2 linked regions of the Mytilus edulis genome follow. The protein of the gene in region 2 binds, or shares a complex with, the protein of the main gene of each other region. Links are inferred from orthologs where the notes say so. Each region holds a gene or a part of one and is shown on either strand. Other genes may lie near its edges.

Region 1 (11,235 bases), about 5.1 Mb from region 2:
AAATAGGAGGGAGCTCAGTATTATCAAAATATCCAGGAATTTGTTCTTTAACAGAATGGTCGTTAAAAATGCCAGCAATATTAACAAAATCAAAACCTTTATTGACATACTTTATTTTAATAAAATGTTTTTTATGATCTTCAGGACGATCAATTTTAGGAAACAGTTTAAAATAACAATATGCCATTATAATTTGAACGATTTCATACTTAGGACTGCTATATGAAATTGTGTTGCAATCCTCTAAAATTGTATTTAACTTATTAATCGGTGATGAACAGAGCTTTGTTAACAGATAATGTCTGCCGTTGTTTTTTGAAATAGAAATTAAGTCCGAAATATTGGTATGATTTGTCCGAAATTTTCTTTTATTACGATTTTTTCTACGACCATGAGAGCGTTTTTTTTCGAACTGTTTTAGAAACAATATCCAAAATGTTAACTGAATCGGTTCTTGATATATTGCCAATTCCCATGATATTATAATTTAAACCGAGAGGGTAGACTGTCTGTAATTTTTTAATCCAATTTAATTCAATTATTTTCCGTGATCGTACACACTTTGAATGAGATTCACCAGGCTGTTTATTTACTACTTCCAAAGGTTGAACTTCTAAATATTCAATAGGATGATTGTGCTTAAGGTGTTGTAAATGATACTTTTGAATTTATTGGGTCTTTTAAAACGATACAGATGTTCTTGAGTGCGTTTAGATAAATACCGTCCAGTTTCACCTACGTACTGAATACCGCATCCCGGTTTGTTTCATGCGAGTAAATAAATAAGACTGTTTGTTTTTCAAGTTATATCAGTTTCAAATTTAAAAAAAAATGTGCGACTATTAAATGTGGACCTTACCGTATTGTTGGTGGAAAGACGGGGACATGTAAGTCATTTTTTGGCATGACACTTATCGATAGAAGGGTAACTACGATTTTTATTGTTAAAAATATTAGCGATGGTCGTATTTTTAGATAAGCGTTTTGAAGATTGAGACGTGTAGATACCCTTTGAACGAGTTTAGTATTAAAATATTTTTCCATTTCTAATCTTCATATTTGTTTTTTTGTTTGTGAATTATATTAGAAAGGAGCAAAGACTGGTGTCCAGAATATGAACCAGCATACAATGAATTAAGTTATGTAAAAATGATAAATCTGTTCGGATAAAGATGTCAAACGCTATCCGTATTAATTACCCCGAAAAGATTAGGATATATCAGGGTATCGACTGACGTCTGACAAAATAGTAGAAAGGGGCTGAATATTGAAGTAGTTACTTTTTGATAAATATTCCTAAAGTAATGAACTAGAGAAGTTCTCGCTCGGACACACACTCCATAATCTAGTATATTATAAGAGCATATGCCTAACAGTATAATTAGGCAATAGACTTACTGCCTAGGCGTTAGCTTATTGCCTAGGATTTAAGCTTAATGTCTAATTTCACTTATTGCCGCTAACATATACATTTCTCTATAAAACAGGTTTGTTCAGATAATAAGCATACATGAAAAAAATGTTAGAATTTGTCATTTAAGGGCAATAACTCCTACAAGAACTCTTCTGACAAATTTAAAGTAAATTGACAATCTGTAAATCTCATCATACGTAACACTTAAGTTCATGACAGATTGTTTTTGTTCATATCGGTTTTCAGACCAAACTTGGCTGCTGATTTTCTATATTTATCTAAATGGTAAAAGAAAGAAAAATCTTTAACCAACATTTTCTCTTTCTTTTCCTGTAGACGGTTAGATATATGTCAAAAAGAATAACATCGGAAATGTGGTATCGGGAATCAATGAGGAGGTTTTGGAAACGGGCTACAGACTTATTTAATCATTTTATGGGTGAACCAAAAAGTATTGGCCACATTACAGAAAACTTTTGTGAGCTCGGAATGACAATCACAAGACGCAGTGATTAATTTTGCAGTTCCCAGCCAAAAGATACGATCAGAATTCATCGCCATGGACCTTGATATCCCAAATTCTTACTTCGGCTTTAGATATCTTGGTTTTAACGTTGAAACATGTCTTCAAGTTCCATGAGGCTGAAATGGTTTCCTTGTGATCAGTGGATTACAGGCGTAACTGTTACAGCTATCGGAAATTGTCGGAAATGACCTTTCTTGTATCAACTCGGTTCTTTCTAGTGCAAGTGACATATTTGGAACATACTCATATTATGTTAATGAAAGCACAATAGATATCTCGTATCAAGGAAACCATGACAGCCTCGTGGAACATGATGAAATGTTTCAACGTTAGAACCAAGATATGTAAAGCAGAGGTCAGATTTAGGGTTGTCAACGGCATAGCGATGAAGTGTGATAGTATCTTTAGTTTTGACTTGGAACTGCATAAAATTTTCCTGCGTCCTGGGGATCGTATATTCCACGCTCATAAAAATTTCGGAGTGTCTATTCGTTCGGTTGTCCGGCTAGCCGGACGAATAGCCATTACCTGCAAATTTTCTGTAATGTGTCCAATACTTTTTGGTCCACCCATAAAATATAAAAAAAATACCGAGAAAAATGATGTAACCAGTTTCCCGTCGGATACAGCCGATTTCCGATGTTATTCCTTTTGAAATTAATCTGACCGTCTACAGGGAAAAAAAAGAGAGAAATATTGTCTAAAGATTTTTTTTCTTTTACCATTTGGATAAAAGATAGAAATCAGCAGCCAGATTAAATTTTTTTGAATCTCTGTTTTGAAATCGTTAAGAATATTAGTGTCATCGTCTTCATCTCTCCTTGAAGCTGTATTGACATTTGATGGAAAAAAAATTCCGGTGAGTGTTTCATTGGAGAAAGTAATCGAGTTTGTTTTAGAGTGGTTGCTTTTGCGGCTTGCGCGAGAGCTTTTGAGAGGAACCTGGTGATGCACTTTGATGGAGTTTGACTGATGGTGGCTTCGGCCAAATATTTTATAGAGGTGTGTTCTGTGATTTTCCTCGATGTATCTGTGCAATGAGCCTCAACCGGGACCTTTTCTGAGTCAATTTTTTTACTTTTTACGAAATCAAAAGCACATGTCTTAAAAGACAATTTCAAAGAAAACAGGCAAAATGAAGTACATTCAGTATGTAATGTCTTATCATAAAATAGCAGATATGTTTGAACTAAAAAGTATCAGATATAGACCGATTTATATGTAAATCTATTCTATTTTTATAAAAAGCGATCTACCCCTTGAGACGCAAAATCTGACACCCCGAGCGACACTTCATATTTGGATGAAAAACTAGTTTTAAAATCAATTAATTTTAAGTAAGAAGCTGGTATTTGGTTAAATTACATGACAGGAATTCAATTCTATATGATACGGAAGGAAGTCGTCTAAAGAAGTTTTTTATCCAGAAATTTGCATATGAAGCCTCAAAATCTGCAACACGGAAAACTAGGGAGAGGTGTTTGAGGAAACATAGTACTAAATACGACTGCTTCTGCTTGCAGGAAATAGATTATGTTTCAGTTCATTCCGTGCAATACATTTTATGGTACTAAGAATTCTAAGAAAAAGAAATTTTGATACTTGAACTTACTTTGATAGTTTTTCTCCGCTTCGAAATTGCCACCCGGCCCGTGTCAAACATAGCCGACACCCCGCATGCATGTGGCGTTCTACAAGGTGTATTTGCAAAGAAAGAAATATGGATATGAAAATGGCACAAAATAATGAATGTACGCATTGTCATTCAGATAAAGCACAAACAAAATTATTTTCAGCAGAAAACAATATGGACCCTAAACATATTCCTTCCAAATTTATTATTTTATTTTAGACCGATGAAAAACCAAATATGTAGGTATATGATTAACTGGCATATAAGGTATTATATATTAAGAAGATTTTTTTAATAAAATTGAAAATCTTTTCCAGGTCATTTAAACATTTCCATACCGCTTCTCCTTCTCATCAGAAACCCTGCTAGTACTAGATTCAGTATGAATTTCGTTTTCACCGACTTATTCTCGCCCATTTGTATATTCATCAAATCATCACTTTCCTTTTGCAAGATATTTGTTTTAAAGAAGTCCCTGTGCTTTTTTTTTATGATGAATGATCAGTAACTATTGTTTAAAGTAAAGTAAAGTAATCTTTATTTAAAGTCGGTTTGCATATATACATAATAACAAGGAACATATGATCTTAAGAGCTCTTTAACCGACTGATATTAATAAACAAAAAATACATGTAATAACATCAGATACATATACAACACAAACACACAAACAGACAGACAGACAGCATACATATGTATCAATACATAAATAGCACATGCAAAATAAAAGCTAAGCAAGATATATATTAAAAGAATGTCAAATATCAGCACATAGTAGAATATATAGACAATAACTGTTTAGTGTCTTTAAATATCAGCTGTATTTGTACGAGGCTAGGAAACAAGGTGTATGCGAGCTTTTAGCGAGCTATTACACCTGTTTCGAGCCGAGTACAAATACAGCTGATATTTAAAGACACTAAACAGTTATTGTCTTTATCCTGCAATTAATTCTGTATATCATTTGTGTTTTGAAAGACACAAAAATACATATTTTGCATTTATTTTCGATTTGAAATCCCTTGAGGCCCGTGTAGTAATACGATATGTAGTAATCACACATTCAGAAGAAGGCGGGTTCGCAAAAAAAGAATCTCGAATGGTCAACAATAATACATCGCTCAAGGTGAATAATTATCTATTTTAACATAACAACTAATTTCAACAGTAAAAACAAATAACAAAACATTGTCCAATTTGAGACAGGAGTGTACGAGTTGTCCTACGCTTCAGACTCGACATTTACTTAAAATGCATGCTGAAATTGACATGGTTGTTTTTGTTACACAACCATACACATTCAAGTTGTTCATGTGTGTATGTTATCAGACAATTGGTGTGATTCTTATTGCTCTAAAGAAATGTTTGGAAACAAACAGAACGTATAAAAGTAATCGTTAATTCGCAATTGATACGTCATTGGAATGCGACTCCAATACACATTCTGAGGTCACGTAGGTTCATACAATACTCAGTCCGGCAGTTGGCGGAGCTTTTAAGCGATATCTGTATAGTATACAGATACAGCAAAGCGATATCTGTAGGGCTGTATCTGTATAGTAGAACACCCAATTGCAGGATAAAGTAGTATTTATATTAGAATAGCACATGTAAAATTAAACACTATGAACACAAGCAAAAGACTGCATGCAGCTAAAGCACACAATGCATAAGCAAATAAATAAATAAATAAATAAATAAATAAATAAATAAATAAATAAATAAATAAATAAATAAATAAATAAATAAATATATAAATAAAAATAACCGGCTGCAAAAAATAACGGAAAAGCGAAAAGTTATCCCCAATACACGGATGCCCCACTCGAACCGGGTATCATTTTCTATGTTCAGTGGACCATGAAATTGGGGTAAAAACTCTAATTTGGCATTAAAATTAGTACGATCATGTCATAGGGAACATGTGTACTAAGTTTCAAGTTGATTGGACTTCAACTTCATCAAAAACTAACTTGACCAAAAACTTTAACCTGATGCGGGCTGGGACAGACGGAAGAACGAACGAACGGTACGACGAACGGACGGACGGACTGACGCACGCACGAACGTAGGTGGGCATAACAATACCAGGCTTCAAATTCAAATCATTGGACAGCAAGGAGTTACATTATTTACAAGAGCTGCAGGTACAATTTATGAAAAAGAGCAGGTGGAGATAAAAATTTTAACTGTTTGAAGGCTAGAAACTGGCATTTAAATGTTTTGTATGGTTTACTCAAACCTTGGCCTTACCCATAACAACTATGTTTTGTCAATAACTTGGTTTATATCAGGTTAATTAGTGTAAATGTGTATTCATGTGGTTTTTTGTTTAAATGTACTTTAATCATTCTAATCATTTTCTGTGCTTTATTTTGTAATTCATTTGATTGTATAGCTCAAATTTTGGGCACCATGATTGGTTAATAAAATTATCTATCTACCTTAACTTTGCACAGGGAGAATTATAAATGTTTATTCGCTGGTTAACGATTACGTTCGTCAATTCCATTATTATTTATATTGTTACCAATATCGAGGGGCCTCAAAATCAGCTTCAAAATAATTGACGTCAAATCTCGGAAATGTCACACAGTTGGTCGGCATTTGATGCTGCGATTCTAATCATTTTCGGACATCCGGATCTTTTTTTCCCAGAAAAAATAATAACATTACAGATAGGACTCAACTAGAAAGCACCTGTTATTAATACCCCAGTGCGATACAGTTATTTTGATAGTATGAATTGATACACAGTTGAAAATGGCAGGAAACTTCTGGCAAAGTTCTCATTTGTATGTACAAAAAGAAGTTTAATAAATATTAGCATGTACCACACAAAAGATTACTATGAAAAATGAAATACTAAGGCATATCAGAAAAAAATCATAAATTGGATTGAATTCTTTTCTTTCAAATTATCAAGTGGGTGAAATAAAGGGAAGTCAATAGGTATAATTTGTATTGCCTGTTAATATGAGGCAGGCATTACCTGTAAATGGGGACGAAGTCTATATGAATTATTTTTTTGTAACTCAATTATTTGTCAAAAAAAAATACACGGAAATACAGTAACGTTTCCGATTTTGGTTCTGTTGTTAAGGATTTTAGTTGTGACGTTATTTAAATTATGACGTCATATGCAATGTAAACAAGAAACGCTATCATTAGGTAACGTTTTTTCATATCAAGGAATTATTAAAAATAAAATAAGTATTGCGCGTTCCTTCCTATTTTATACTAGACTGATAAATATATATTTTACTCAAAGTTTCATACAAACGAGACCGGAAAAAGGAAGTATATTGTACATTTCTGCGCAGGTCCGGAATTTCAAAACATGACATAAAAAAAATTGAACGATTTTGAGTTCATTAGTACAATGAAAAATTCGGGAAATTTTCCCGAATTTTTTTTTTTATTGAATTTTCTACTGTTATTGGGGACTTCGTCCCCATATAAATATTCTTTCAATATATTACAAAAGTTAAAACACAATATATCGTCGTGTCATATGTTTTTGTATGTCATATGTTTTCGTATCAACCACATTTCGTCGGTTTCGACTGCATACGCGTACATTGTGGCATGTTTTTCTGTTTATATATTTAGAACAACAACACTACTACAACTTGATATATTTAAAACATATTCAACGTCGCTTTTTAAAGACGTTAGAACAAATTAAATAAAACTGACCTATTTAGCCATTTTTATTTAATGTCAAAAATACGCATCACTAGAATAGTTGTGGAAAAAAATTCTGAAGGGTTAAAATAAAGTCCAGATATGTTTTTTTGCAAGTCAGACACCGGATCTTCAAGACGTATGACTGTCATGTGTTTTTTTGGCCGTTTTAATTACAAACCATCGAGTTAAAATTAGCAGGGTTCTTATATAAAATGGTTGTTCAAAATCTAACTATTCAATATTTCATTGACAATTTTTTTTATACATCCTTGATACATGAAGATGAAAACAGTCTTTTACTTTTTATATTTAATCATAAATTTTGAAAACTGCATTTTATTTTAGAAAAAATAATGTATTTTGTACAAACCAGGTGCCAATCTGAAATTAATCAAAATCTAAAAATTTCATCACACGAAACACCAACCTTACACTTTTTACTAGTAATTTTTTGTACTGAAAAGTATTTAATAACTTTTTTTAAGATTCAAGCGATCACCCGAACCACGACTTTAGAAAAAATGTATTTCCGGATTTTGTAGTCATTTCCTGTCCGTGTACTGATCCAACTTTTATTTCATACGAAAACATATGACACCGTTTTTTTGACATACAAAAATCGCAAAGTAATCGGAAACAGTAAAAAATCGTAGAAATCATTGACAAAAAAACTAGATACCTAAAATCAATCTACAGGACATGCTTTTTAAATTTGAGTAAACACCTAAATAGAAACTCAACAGTAAAAACCGTAAGCAGTGAAAATTGTTATAAGTACGAAAACACATTACACGATGATACATGTATCATAAATAATTAAATACATGTACACAAATGAAAATACATAAACATAAATGCATAATAAATATATTTTTTGGCAAACACATCATCCGCCAAGCCTGAAAGGCCGCCAAAAAAATAAAGATAAAATACTAACTATCAAAACAGTTAATCATGATTAACACCAGACATACTATTATCTTTTTTCTCTCTTCAAATAAGCTCCTTCCTTTCAAAATGTGTATAGATAATGAAAGGACAAAACAGCAAACCAACTCAGAATGTATGTAGATCCTGGGTAGTTAGAGGAAAACCAACATTATATTCAGGATGCAAGTTCTCTGAAAAGAGAAAAAAGAATAATTATAGTAAACAATATACATGTATGAAGTACAAAATGTAAATAAAAACACAATTGTAACACATTACAATTTATATACTCTGATGCTTAATAATGTTGATTATCTTTTTTCTGAAAAGTTCTGTACCAGCAAAATTTAAATGAAGCCCATCTCTCGGAAGCAAATGAGGAAGAATCTGGAATATTGTAGAGTAAGAAACTCTATACAAATTACAATATAATAAATTATTTCTTTTACACAATCTTTTTAACTCAGTATTAACTTTATTAACTTTAGCTCCAGTGTTCATGTGATCAACTGGTCTAGGAAGACTTAGCAAATGTCTTCTTTTTTAACTTGTTAATTAAATCTCCAAAATAAGACATAATAGTATCTACGGATTGAGACGAAGAAATATTATTAGTACCAACATGTACTATAAGGAAATCTAATGAAATTAAATCTACTTTCCCAGATGAAATTAATTCAGTAAGACGACCAATAGTGGCACCAGGAAAGGCCTGAGTTGTACACCCATCTATTCCACTAACATATTTAGGTATAGACGCTGACACAATGGTCACCCTTTTTTCTAAGAAATTCCCTGTAAAATTTATAATAAAACATCTGAAATATGTGCTGTCATCTTTTCTGCTACTGAAATCTTATTGTCTAATGAAATTTTAAATATCTCTTGTAAGCATCGATTTTCCAATCTTCGTACAATTGAATTAACTCCGTAGGTACTTCGGCTGCAAAAGCCCAGCTAGCCCCCCCCCTCGCCTAAAACTATGTGTAGAATATGACGACGCATCTATACCAATCTCAGTAATTAACTGTTTCAGTATTGTCTGAAATTGTCTATACAAGACAGGTACACATAATTTATTTTTTATAAACAATAAGCTGGACTCTTATCAGAAGTACAAACCAAAGACTTCATATTCAAAAAAGCTTGAACGGGACACAATGGAGAATCTGGTATTGAGACTAGAGGTATCAATAATTCTCTCTAACCAAACTGAATGGGGTTCGACCATTTAACACTTATCAATAATAGCTTACGCTTACAATCGAAAATAATACATGTACTATCCCTACAAAGCTGTTTATTATGATCAAAAGTAGAAACAGAATCTGGAACCAAATTAGATTTTCTAAACATAAGAAAAAAGGCATGTAAAATTAAACACCATATAGTAGCATCATGCGCACTATTCATATCTACATGTAGCTTATTATAAATTTGAAGTAAAAAGTGAGGAGTAATTGGAAAGGCCTGTTTTAGACAATGTGCCTTAATTCTACATAAACCTCTTAATAGTTAATACTAATCTCAAATGAAAAGCTTCAAACTGTAGATATTCTAAATCTAACAATAAATGCAGATATTTTACTGAACTAATATAATTCTTAGAGTCAACAGATTTAAAACTTCTACTCAGAAACTGTGCATATAATGTCAAAACATAAACTGTAGCAGGAACAGGAATAAGTTCAAAATATATACAAAACATAAAATATGATTCTAACTGAGTTTTTTATACGACCGCAAAAATTTTAATTTTTCGTCGTATATTGCTATCACGTTGGCGTCGTCGTCGTCCTGCGTCGTCGTCGTCTGAATACTTTTAGTTTTCACACTCTAACTTTAGTAAAAGTGAATAGAAATCGATGAAATTTTGTCACAAAGTTTATGACCACAAAAGGAAGGTTGGTATTGATTTTGGGAGTTTTGGTCCCAACATTTTAGGAATTAGGGGTCAAAAAGGGCCCAAATAAGCATTTTCTTGGTTTTCGCACTATAACTTTAGTTTAAGTGAATAGAAATCAATGAAATTTTGACACAAGGTTTATGACCACAAAAGAAAGATTGGGATTGATTTTGGGAGTTTTGGTTCCAACAGTTTAGGAATTAGGGGCCAAAAAAGGGCCAAAATAAGCATTATTCTTTGTTTTCGCACAATAACTTTAGTATAAGTACAAATGTAAATAGAAATCAGTGAAATTTGAAGACAAGGTTTATGACCACAAAAGGAAGGTTGGAATTGATTTTGTGAGTTGAGGTCCCAACAGTTTAGGAATTAGGGGCCAAAATAAGCATTATTCTTGGTTTTCGCACCATAACTTACGTATAAGTAAATAGAAATCTATGAAATTTAAACACAAGGTTTATGACCATAAAAGGAAGGTTGGGTTTGATTTTGAGAGTTTTTGATATGCTGAATCTAAACATGTACTTAGATTTTTGTTTATGGGCCCAGTTTTCAAGTTGGTTCAAATCAGGATCCAAAATTATTATTTTAAGTATTGTGCAATAGCAAGAAATTTTCAATTGCACAGTATTCAGCAATAGCAAGAAATCTTCAATTGCACAGTATTGTGCAATAGCAAGAAATTTTCAATTGCTCAGTATTGTGCAATAGCAAGAAATCTTCAATTGCACAGTATTGTGCAATAGCAAATATTTTCAATTGCACAGTATTGCACAATAGCCAGAAATATCTAATTGCACAATATAGTGCAATAACAAGAAATTTTCAATTGATTGAAGTTATCTTTCTTTGTCCAGAATAGTAGTTGAGTCAACTTAAATCATTGTTTTATACAATATACAATGTATATTCACTTTTACTACCAACTGATAAATTAAAACAATCTTTACCATTCAGTGATAACAAGCACCTTTTGTTACATTTTAATATTTTATGATGTATTTAAATGAGTAGTTATTGTTGCAAACTCCATTAGAAATTTGAATTGAGATCAGTTTTGAAAAAAGGGAAAGGGGTATGTGAAAAAAATGTGGGGGGTTGGGGGGTCAAATTTTTCTCATTTCAGATTTCATAAA
Region 2 (10,541 bases):
TTTACCGGACATTATACAAATGACCGGAATATATGACCGTTTTGGAAGCCTTGTTTCATAGTGATCTCTATCTTTGTATTACATAGTAATCTCTATCTGAAGGTTCACAACTCATATTGTGACTTAGATTAACTTGATATTTTCTTGAAAAACTTATCAGAAACATTGATGCATTAGCATAGTCTCATATCCAAATTTAGGATTTTACATCAATAAACACTTTGACTCAATTTCCACAAGTTCCAATATAATGTGAGTAATGTAATGAACTTACTGGCCAGAAATTATCTTTGGATGGCTGTTGTTTCTTTTTGGAGGTATCTTGAAATGTGTTGAATTCTTTCTTCTTGTTAAGTAGAGCAATAAATTCTGATCCAAACTGTTAAGTATAACAAAGTAAGATAAGCTATTTCTAATACATACATGATATAATTAATAAATAAAATGTCATTTGTTGGTCCTATATTTGTAATAACTAAAATGTCATTTGTTGTTCCTATATATTTGTATTAAATAACTAAAATGTCATTTGTTGTTCCTATATTTGTAATAACTAAAATGTCATTTGTTGTTCCTATATTTGTATTAAATAACTAAAATGTCATTTGTTGGTCCTATATTTGTAATAACTAAAATGTCATTTGTTGTTCCTATATATTTGTATTAAATAACTAAAATGTCATTTGTTGGTCCTATATTTGTAATAACTAAAATGTCATTTGTTGTTCCTATATTTGTATTAAATAACTAAAATGTCATTTGTTGGTCCTATATTTGTAATAACTAAAATGTCATTTGTTGTTCCTATATATTTGTATTAAATAACTAAAATGTCATTTGTTGTTCCTATATTTGTATTAAATAACTAAAATGTCATTTGTTGGTCCTATATTTGTAATAACTAAAATGTCATTTGTTGTTCCTATATATTTGTATTAAATAACTAAAATGTCATTTGTTGTTCCTATATATTTGTATTAAATAACTAAAATGTCATTTGTTGTTCCTATATTTGTATTAAATAACTAAAATGTCATTTGTTGGTCCTATATTTGTAATAACTAAAATGTCATTTGTTGTTCCTATATATGTATTAAATAACTAAAATGTCATTTGTTGTTCCTATATTTGTATTAAATAACTAAAATGTCATTTGTTGGTCCTATATTTGTAATAACTAAAATGTCATTTGTTGGTCCTATATTTGTAATAAGTAAAATGTCATTTGTTGTTCCTATATTTGTATTGAGGGACATCCACAACCAAGATCAATAAAAGAAATGAGTAAATTTATTGAACATTGTATTCAAATTTTCCTATAAATATCATTACATGTATCATTAAAGTATCGTAAACTTTATTTTAAAATGGCAGGAATAACATATTTTTAATTTGATAAAAAATAAATAAAATAAAGACTGGATGAATTTGGTTCGACATTTTAACAAGAATGGAACAAGCATATACTAAAGTTGAATCAGTTATTTTGTAATAATTGCAAGAATTAGATCCTTATATTGACGATTAAAAAAAAACATCAATGAACTAGTCAATTAGATTTTTATCAATGGAATCTCTACAGTATTTTTGATATGTATCTTGATAAAATTGGCTAATATCTACTTTGAGAACGTATTACATTGGCTTCTTCTAAAAAAATAATTTGTAACTGTTTAAAGTACCAATTTTCATACATTTACAGGGTTTCTGCTGGCGGTCGCCATTTTCGCAATTTGCGAAAAAATAATAGTTGTGGCGATAAAAATTCGTCATTTGCGAAAGAATTTGGCGAAAGAAATATATAGAACGATTTATTTTCCTCCATCTTGTTTATTTACTTTTTTCGAATTTCTCGGACTTTACCTTATCAGACAATACTCGGAATTCACCTTGACCTCATTAAGATTTGGACAGAAAATCAATAATCAGCTGATTGCATTTTATAGCTATCGACAACAAAGGACTAATTAATAAAGGTGTTGATTGAATTGATTGACAAAATGATATGGTTAAATGGCTTCCGCTAAATGTCACATACAGAATTTATTTACCACTTTGCGATGCACGTGTTTGAAGAACTCTTTTGACGTCTCCTCTCCTTTTAAAGATAGTTTTATAAATAAAAGAAAGCAGTTGTTGTGACGAAAAATGTTCAAAAGCAAGAAAAATCTCCGATTTAAAACTTTAATTATCCTTTGACTTTAATATAGGTAATTGATCAGGGAGACTACTTTAAAGTCGTTTGAGTGACACGTGTTTCAAGCATAGTTTTACGTCTCAACTTTTTCATTTACGATGGTCAAGAAAAGAAAACTGTGGTTATGAAGAAATCTATCCAAAAGGTTGGGAACAACCCCTTGAATGAGAGTAGCTCTTAAATTTTATGACCACATAAAATGAGGGATCAATTTCATGTGATAAAAGCTTTTCTTTTGTTGTAAAAACCGCTTCTTAGTACAAAAAGCCACATCAGTATTTTTCTTTTAAAGAAACTTTCCCTACGAACTATACTGGTATTATATAATCAAAACATGGCCATTAATTTTGTTATATTCCAGGACTTATATCTTCTTTATTATTAAAAGTAAAGTGGCCCCCTCATTTAGAAAAGTTGTTTAAAATACATTCAATGAATATAGTTATGTTACTTGGCGAAAAAAATAATAAAGTGGCGAAAAATATATTGTTTTGGCGAAAGAGGTGGCGAAAAAAATAATTGACCCAGGGGAAACCCTGCATTTATGTGACTGAAGAAGATGTATGTTATATATACATGACATATCCATAATTCATAGTAAAGTGTTATTTTCTTCAGTTTATTAACAAACCTTTTCTTCACTGATGTTCTCTCTTCTTGCTGATCCATACTACAACAAAATAACATCAATTATTAGATTAATCTTTGCAGAATTAAAGAAGGAGTCAAAATTATAAATCCCAAAAGTGGGTTACACATTTTTGTTATTATTTGAACACTTTTAAATAGATCTTGAATAGTAAATTTACCTGTCAGGTTTATAATGTAGAAAATGAAATTCTGGACCAAACACTAAAAACAAATACTGAAATATAGCTTATTATTTAAATCTTACAAATATACTTTTACCATAAACAACTATTAATTTTTTTTCGCTTATGTCAAAGCATTAATAAAAAGAATGACGGAGTAGTTCCCATTGTTCACAATAGCAACTTTAAGTCTGTTACTCCATAAAAATCTTTTTTTAATGGGTAACTAGCCAGCTAAAGAATTTACACAATTTGTTCAATGTATTTCAAAATAAACTATCACTACTGACTGTGGATCACAGAATTATGCCGATTTTCCCCATTGAATATGTTGACCAACCTCTATATATTCTCCATTCCCTTCATTAAATACCTCATAACAAGCATTCAAAGGAGATACAATAGAATATACTAGTACATGAAGATTAAATCACTTAATACAGGAGATAGGTTTTAGTTTGAGTTTAAACACTGTTACATTTTCGAAAGTGCACAAAATACAATTATACAATAGAAATACAGGGATTTGGAGACAAGAAGAACTTATATAAATCCATCTCCCTTAGAGATAGATTTGTTCCTATTGTGCTTAAACATTGTTAAAACCCAACATAAAGATTTTGAAAAGTTGGCAGGTATTAGATCAGAAATGTATCATTTACTTTAGCAAAAGTGTGTCTAACTAGTTGTGACTCAGTATGTCAGTCTAGTTATAATCAGCCAGGGTTGATATCATTTCACATAAACAGTTTCTAATCCTTACATAAATGTAATATTTGCAACCGGACTTTTTATCTTATAAAAAAGGGACAGGAGGTAATCAGTCACATAAAATGTCCTTGATAAACAACTGGAAAGAAAATGCTATACCCATGACATCTACATAATCCATGTGACTGATTATCACTTAATTAACACTAACCTCGTCCATGTTATACATCTGTGTGTTGTTGAAGCCATGTTTAACACTTTTCTCTGTAAGTTCATCCTAAATTATAAAAAAATATTATTATGAACCACTTCATGGTTGTAAACACAGTGTAACTGCTGCAAACAACTCCCGAAATATTAATAAATTATATATTCAAATATAATAATTTTCATATTGTTTTTGTATTGTTCTGTGATGTAACTTTCACAAGTCCATTGATCAAGGTTTAATGAAAATGATTGCCCTTCCAGTCAACAAGAACCAATCTGCCTTGTGACTTATGCTGGACCACTATTTACATTTGTGTACCAGTTAGTAAAAGGTAAAGGGCTAGTGTTTCTTTGCAGACTGCTCTTTATGTCTATGCCAATCAATACAAGCCAATACAGTTTTACCTATTCTAAAGTCCAAAGGAGTATCATGTCCATTCTTTCCCATAACATGTGCATACCTGGATTTTGTTCACACCAATGAATTTTTATTAGATTGATTTGCAATTCAATGTTATTTTATAGTACATTGGTCAGTTGTATACCAAAATATAATTTTAATGTTCTTGTCAGGAATCATGAAAAATATGAAATATATATTCATCTCATAAGAATGCAGTGGCTCCACACTTTCCATCATAAAAGCATTAGCACGAATTCCTGTGACAAACGAAAATATATGATCTGACCTAATCCTGATGTCAATATTATGACACAACTGTTCTCTTTGTGCTGGATTATTTCATCCTGGTACTAAATTTCTCCGTAACACGGTACTTATGGTTAATTTGTTAGACACAGGATTATGACATATGATATAGTAAATTAAGTTTTCTGTGTTCATTGTTTTTGATTGGACATTTTCAGCATTTTTATTATTTTGTGCGGTTAGTTTTAATAGGTTGAGGAAGTTCCAGGTAAAAACCGGCGACCTTCGGTGGATAACTTCGATGTGATGCAGGAATCTTTTAAAGTAAACAATGAATCGCATTCATAATTTGCTATAATGGACGGTAGCTCATCGGGTGTAAAACCTTATAATTTACTTCCTTTCTTTAAATAAATACCTCTTTCTGTTTAGGTTCTTGTGGATATACATCTGGCGGTCCCAATCTTGGCTTTTTTAAAGGTCTAAATTCCTGTGAAGGATATGCAGACATCTGCATCTGCATCTGCATCGTAAATTTGTCAGATTGGGGAAATTTACATTTTCTGGGTTGATCGGCGTCTTTTCCGTAGTATTCTTTGCAGCTGGTAATTGAAACGCCCAATTGATCTCGCTTAAAATAAAGAGTTATCTTTCTTAGGCCGTGACAAATTACTTTATATAAATCTAATAGAATAAAATGGAAAATTTTATTTTTAATCGGGTTACATGAACATTACAAACATAAGCTGTGTAGAGTTTTTGCCAACCTTAATAACAACAACCACACATACAATAGTAAGACATATAGGACATATAAAACATACACAAAGTAAGACAGCTATGATTCCAAAAGCAATAATAGTACTATAATGTTCATAATAAGATATATAAAAGCAAGGATTTGTATAGTATACAAATCCTTGACAAAAAGCAACCACAAACAAGTAAAGCACTAAACTAGATAAGCACATGCAAAGCAGACGAAATAGATAAAGCAAATTGTAAAAATAAAAGTAGCATGGAAAACATAAAAAAAATAAAAGCTCTAAGATCTGCAGGTGCCACATCTGCATGAGTTGCCATTCCAGTTGTTGATCATACTTTTAAACAGGTTCAGGGTCGACTGCGCACGGATCGGTTTGCTTACAATATTAAGCTTATTCATCAATTTCATGTTCAACTTTTTTTTTAATACTACCAAGGATTTGTATAGTATTATTGATACCCAACTCTTTGATAATACCCAAGACTTCTATAACACATGTGTTATACCGGTAGTAGTCTCAGTGATACCTCATATATATATTCCTCATAATTAGCAATCTCTCATTTTCAAATGATTTTTTTTTAACAAATGTATATATTTATTACACGAAGTCCCCAGACTATCAGGAATGAAGCTTAAGAAAATTATAAACAGAATAACAACTTAATAGATTATTTGATCGTGAAGTCTCAGTGCTGTAATAGTTAACAACACAACAATAAGGATATGCTGTATGATTCAGTATAAAGATATTAATGATAAAAGTTATAATATTAATGATATGCATAATACTGGTCATAATATTAATAATTATGTATTCCTTATTTAAAGATAATCTTAAACTATTAAAGATAATCTTAAATTATCGGCTAAGAAGGAGAAGTTTTATTTCAAATTATGGACCCGTAACATCACAACATCAATAGTTTTCACAATACAATTCAAACAATATGAGATAAAAAAAAATAATATTGAGAACAATCTAAGTTTTTAAAACAAAATGTTGACAAAGAGCCTATAATTTTAAACATCTAATGCACTTCAAAGGTACAGACAAAATTCAGTAAACATAGCATCTCTACTGCAGCATGAAACTATGGCACATGAGAGTACAACGAAATCAACGTTCTATATTTTAATTTAATTGTAGATAACTCCCTATCGAGGAAAGCCGCTGATCTTGAACTCAGAAAATACGACACTTCGCCACATAGCAATTGAAGGCTGACAATGGTGAAAAGAATGGATCATAATTTCTTTATGTTAAATTTTAGTTTTAAACAAAACATCTTTTTCTTCAGTTAAGGAAGGAACATGAAGCTGACTACACTAATTATAGTGAAAATGAGGAAAAGTTGCAATGATTTTTATTTGTTTTAATTGCTTACACTTTCTACAGAAAACACCAGAGCTAACAAAAAAAAGGGGTGATGAGTGAAACATTCAGATCCATATATTAACACGAGGACTATTTTAACATGAAAAGGGGGCTTCTGTTTAGCGGTCTTTATGGATTGTGGTTTTCTCTTTAATGAAGATCGGACGTCTACATATGATTACTAACATCCACATCATTCGAAATCTGGTGGATAGTTGTCTCAGTGGCAGTAATACTACATATCCTCATTTGCAAAAGGTCGACACTGTGGTGACCGCTGATGTGAATTTTGGAAGACAATATGAGGTATTGAATTCGTGTTATTGAGTAAATCCGGTCACAAGCTAGCTAACATGATCCCTTATGGAAGATCTCTGAGTCATAAGCCGATGATTTCGTAAACACTATTGCATACAAATTTGATAAGAGTTTTGTACCCGACTATGCTAGTTTAGTTCTTACCAAGCCGCATATTTATCGACAAAATCTTCCTTCTACAAGTAGATAAAATTATTTCTTAAAATCAACACTGACGATTGCCATTTGTTGTGCCGATATAAGTCTTTCAATATCATATTTTATTTAACCTTATTAATCTACATAATACACTATATCTTATATCAGTATTGAACCAATCATTATAGACACCTTTTCACTCATGTTCATTTGTGTAAATATATAAACTTTAACATACATAGATAGATTCTCCGTGGAAAGACCTTTTGATTATGTTTGATTATTAAATTTTCCTTCTTTTCCAGTTGACAGACCTTTAGGGTTTGTTGCTTGCCAAGCTTTTTGTTTCGAAAGATGTCGATACAATGATTTTTTCTTTCAAATAATTTTTTTCACTCAATTACCAAGAAGACAATTTAAGGAAATTTTGAAACAAGAGCAAATGAACTTACAAAGGACATACTTATTGAAGGAAAGAACATCGACAATGTTGTCAAGACAAGATATTCAATGCAAGCGGCAAAAGAAAGTTTACCAATGGGTGTGAGAAAGAACTACAAGCCATACTGATCCAATGAAATTCAGGAAACACATGATGCACTCACAAGAGCAAGAAAAGAGGCTGAATGAAACCCCAGCCAGGAGAATAACATCAAACTCTAACAAAGCAAGGTAAAACACCTTAGAACAAAACATGAGAGACAGTGAAAAGGATGGAGAGACAAAAAACATCATCTTTAAAAATGGAGAAAGATACAACAAAGCTGTGGATTGACAAAAGCACTAAATTATGAGGGAAGTAAAGGCCAAAAGATAACTCTAGAAGTTGAAGGAAGAACAACTACAGACAGGAAAAGCTGCTGCAAATGCATCTGCAAAAGGCTGTGAGGTAGAAAACAATACCAACATCCCAACTTTATGTAAAAAAGAAGTAAGAGCAGAAATAAGAGTTAGACAGAAAACACCTGTACATGAGATCATGCATGCAAATTGACATCACAATGTGTGAGATGAAACAATCGATAAGAATGCTAAAGATGAAAAAGTCTCCAGGTCCAGATAACATCACAAATGAGATGCTTCACCACCTATAGGGAACTCAACACTATATACTTTGCTGGACATCTTCAATCTTAGCTGCAGACAATTATAGTCCCACAATGCTGGAAGGAAGCAATAATGATGCCAATACTAAAGAAAGGAAAGAAACTAGTCAAAAGCCTCAAGTTATCGTCCTATAAGCATAACAAGCAGCTGTTGTCAGTTGTTGGAGCACATAATAAACAAGCGCATGCACATGTACTTAGAGTCGGAGAACAAGTGGTTTTAGACAATACAAAAGCACAGAAGACCAGACTTTACATCTATTGCAGGTAGTACAAGATGCCTTCCAACCCAAGAAAGTAACGTTGGCTTCGTAGATATACAAATAGCATTTGATAAGGTATAAAAGATCTACTTATGGATCTACAATCTGTCAATACCTGTATCTTGGCATTGCGTATGGTCATATTTTTCTCTGATTCATTGGATGTTGGATGTGTACTGATTGATAAGTTAGTCTTAGATGCATGATTTTTTATCAGTTTTTTGTGGCTTGGAACTAGCTGTCAGTAAATGCGAGTACTCTCAGGGAGGGTTGGGATCCCGCTAACATGTTTAACCAAACCACATTATGTATGGATGTGCCTGTCCCAAGTCAGGAGCCCGTAATTCAGTGGTTGTCTTTTGTTGATGTGTGACATATTGCTTTTTGTTCCTTTTTAGCTCACCTGGCCCGAAGGGCCAAGTGAGCTATTCCCATCACTTTGCGTCCGGCGTCCGTCGTCGTCGTCCGTCGTCCGTCGTCCGTCGTCGTCCGTCGTCCGTCGTCGTTAACTTTTACAAAAATCTTCTCCTCTGAAACTACTGGGCCAAATTTAACCAAACTTGACCAAAATCATCATTGGGGTATCTAGTTTAAAAAATGTGTGGCGTGACCCGGTCAACCAACCAAGATGGCCGCCACGGCTAAAAATAGAACATAGGGGTAAAATGCAGTTTTTGGCTTATAACTCAAAAACCAAAGCATTTAGAGCAAATCTGACATGGGGTAAATATGTTTATCAGGTCAAGATCTATCTGCCCTGAAATTTTCAGATGAATCGGTCAACCCGTTGTTGGGTTGCTGCCCCTGAATTGGTCATTTTGAGGAAATTTTGCTGTTTTTGGTTATTATCTTGAATATTATTATAGATAGAGATAAGCTGTAAACAGCAATAATGTTTGGCAAAGTTAGATTTACAAGTAAGTCAACATGACCGAAATGGTCAGTTGACCCCTTTAGGAGTTATTGCCCTTTATAGTCAATTTTTAACCATTTTTCATAAATCTAAGTAATCTTTTACAAAAATCTTCTCCTCTGAAACTACTGGGCCAAATTAATCCAAACTTGGCCACAATCATCTTTGGGGTATCTAGTTAAAAAAATGTGTGGCGTGACCCGGTCAACCAACCAAGATGGCCGCCACGGCTAAAAATAGAACATAGGGGTAAAATGCAGTTTTTGGCTTATAACTCAAAAACCAAAGCATTTAGAGCAAATCTGAAGTGGGGTAAAAATGTTTATCAGGTCAAGATCTATCTGCCCTGAAATTTTCAGATGAATTGGTCAACCTGTTGTTGGGTTGCTGCCCCTGAATTGGTAATTTTGAGGAAATTTTGCCGTTTTTGGTTATTATCTTGAATATTATTATAGATAGAGATAAACTGTAAACAGCAATAATGTTCAGCAAAGTAAGATTTACAAATAAGTCAACATGACGAAAATGGTCAGTTGACCCCTTTAGGAGTTATTGCCCTTTATAGTCAATTTTTAACCATTTTTCGTAAATCTTAGTTATCTTTTACAAAAATCTTCTCCTCTGAAACTACTGGGCCAAATTAATTCAAACTTGGCCACAATCATCTTTGAGGTACCTTGTTTGAAAAATGTGTCCGATGACCTGGCCATCCAACCAAGATGGCCACCACGGCTAAAAATAGAACAGGGGTAAAATGTAGTTTTTTGCTTACAACTCTGAAACCAAATCATTTAGAGGAAATCTGACAAGGAGTTTAATTGTTAATCAAGTCAATATATATCTGCCCTGAAATATTCAAATGAATTGGACAACCTGTTGTTGGGTTGCTGCCCTCCAATTGGTAATTTTTAAAGAAAGTTTGCTGTTTTTGGTTATTATCTTGAATACTATTATAGATAGCGATAAACTGTAAACAGCGATAATGTTCATCAAAGTAAGATCTACAAATAAGTCCACATGACCTAAATGGTCAATTGACCCCTTAAGGAGTTATTGCCCTTTATAGTCAATTTTTTTAAC

What was found. Proteins that work in one complex are often made in the same cells at the same time.
Region 1: mediator of RNA polymerase II transcription subunit 12-like protein (region 2) and cyclin-C-like share a complex: the UniProt entries of both Drosophila melanogaster proteins name them as parts of the cdk8 module of the Mediator complex. The link is inferred for Mytilus edulis from reciprocal best matches to the Drosophila melanogaster genes kto and CycC.

What each region holds. Positions count from the first base shown.
Region 1 is NC_092346.1:91,811,131-91,822,365, forward strand, and holds the start of cyclin-C-like, read left to right. Parts: upstream 1-6,185; 5' UTR 6,186-6,336; coding exon 6,337-6,368; intron 6,369-11,235. UniProt on the Drosophila melanogaster protein: Component of the Mediator complex, a coactivator involved in regulated gene transcription of nearly all RNA polymerase II-dependent genes.
Region 2 is NC_092346.1:96,950,823-96,961,363, reverse strand, and holds the start of mediator of RNA polymerase II transcription subunit 12-like protein, read right to left. Parts: upstream 5,163-10,541; 5' UTR 5,109-5,162; coding exon 4,998-5,108; intron 3,998-4,997; coding exon 3,932-3,997; intron 2,868-3,931; coding exon 2,829-2,867; intron 380-2,828; coding exon 275-379; intron 1-274. UniProt on the Drosophila melanogaster protein: Component of the Mediator complex, a coactivator involved in regulated gene transcription of nearly all RNA polymerase II-dependent genes.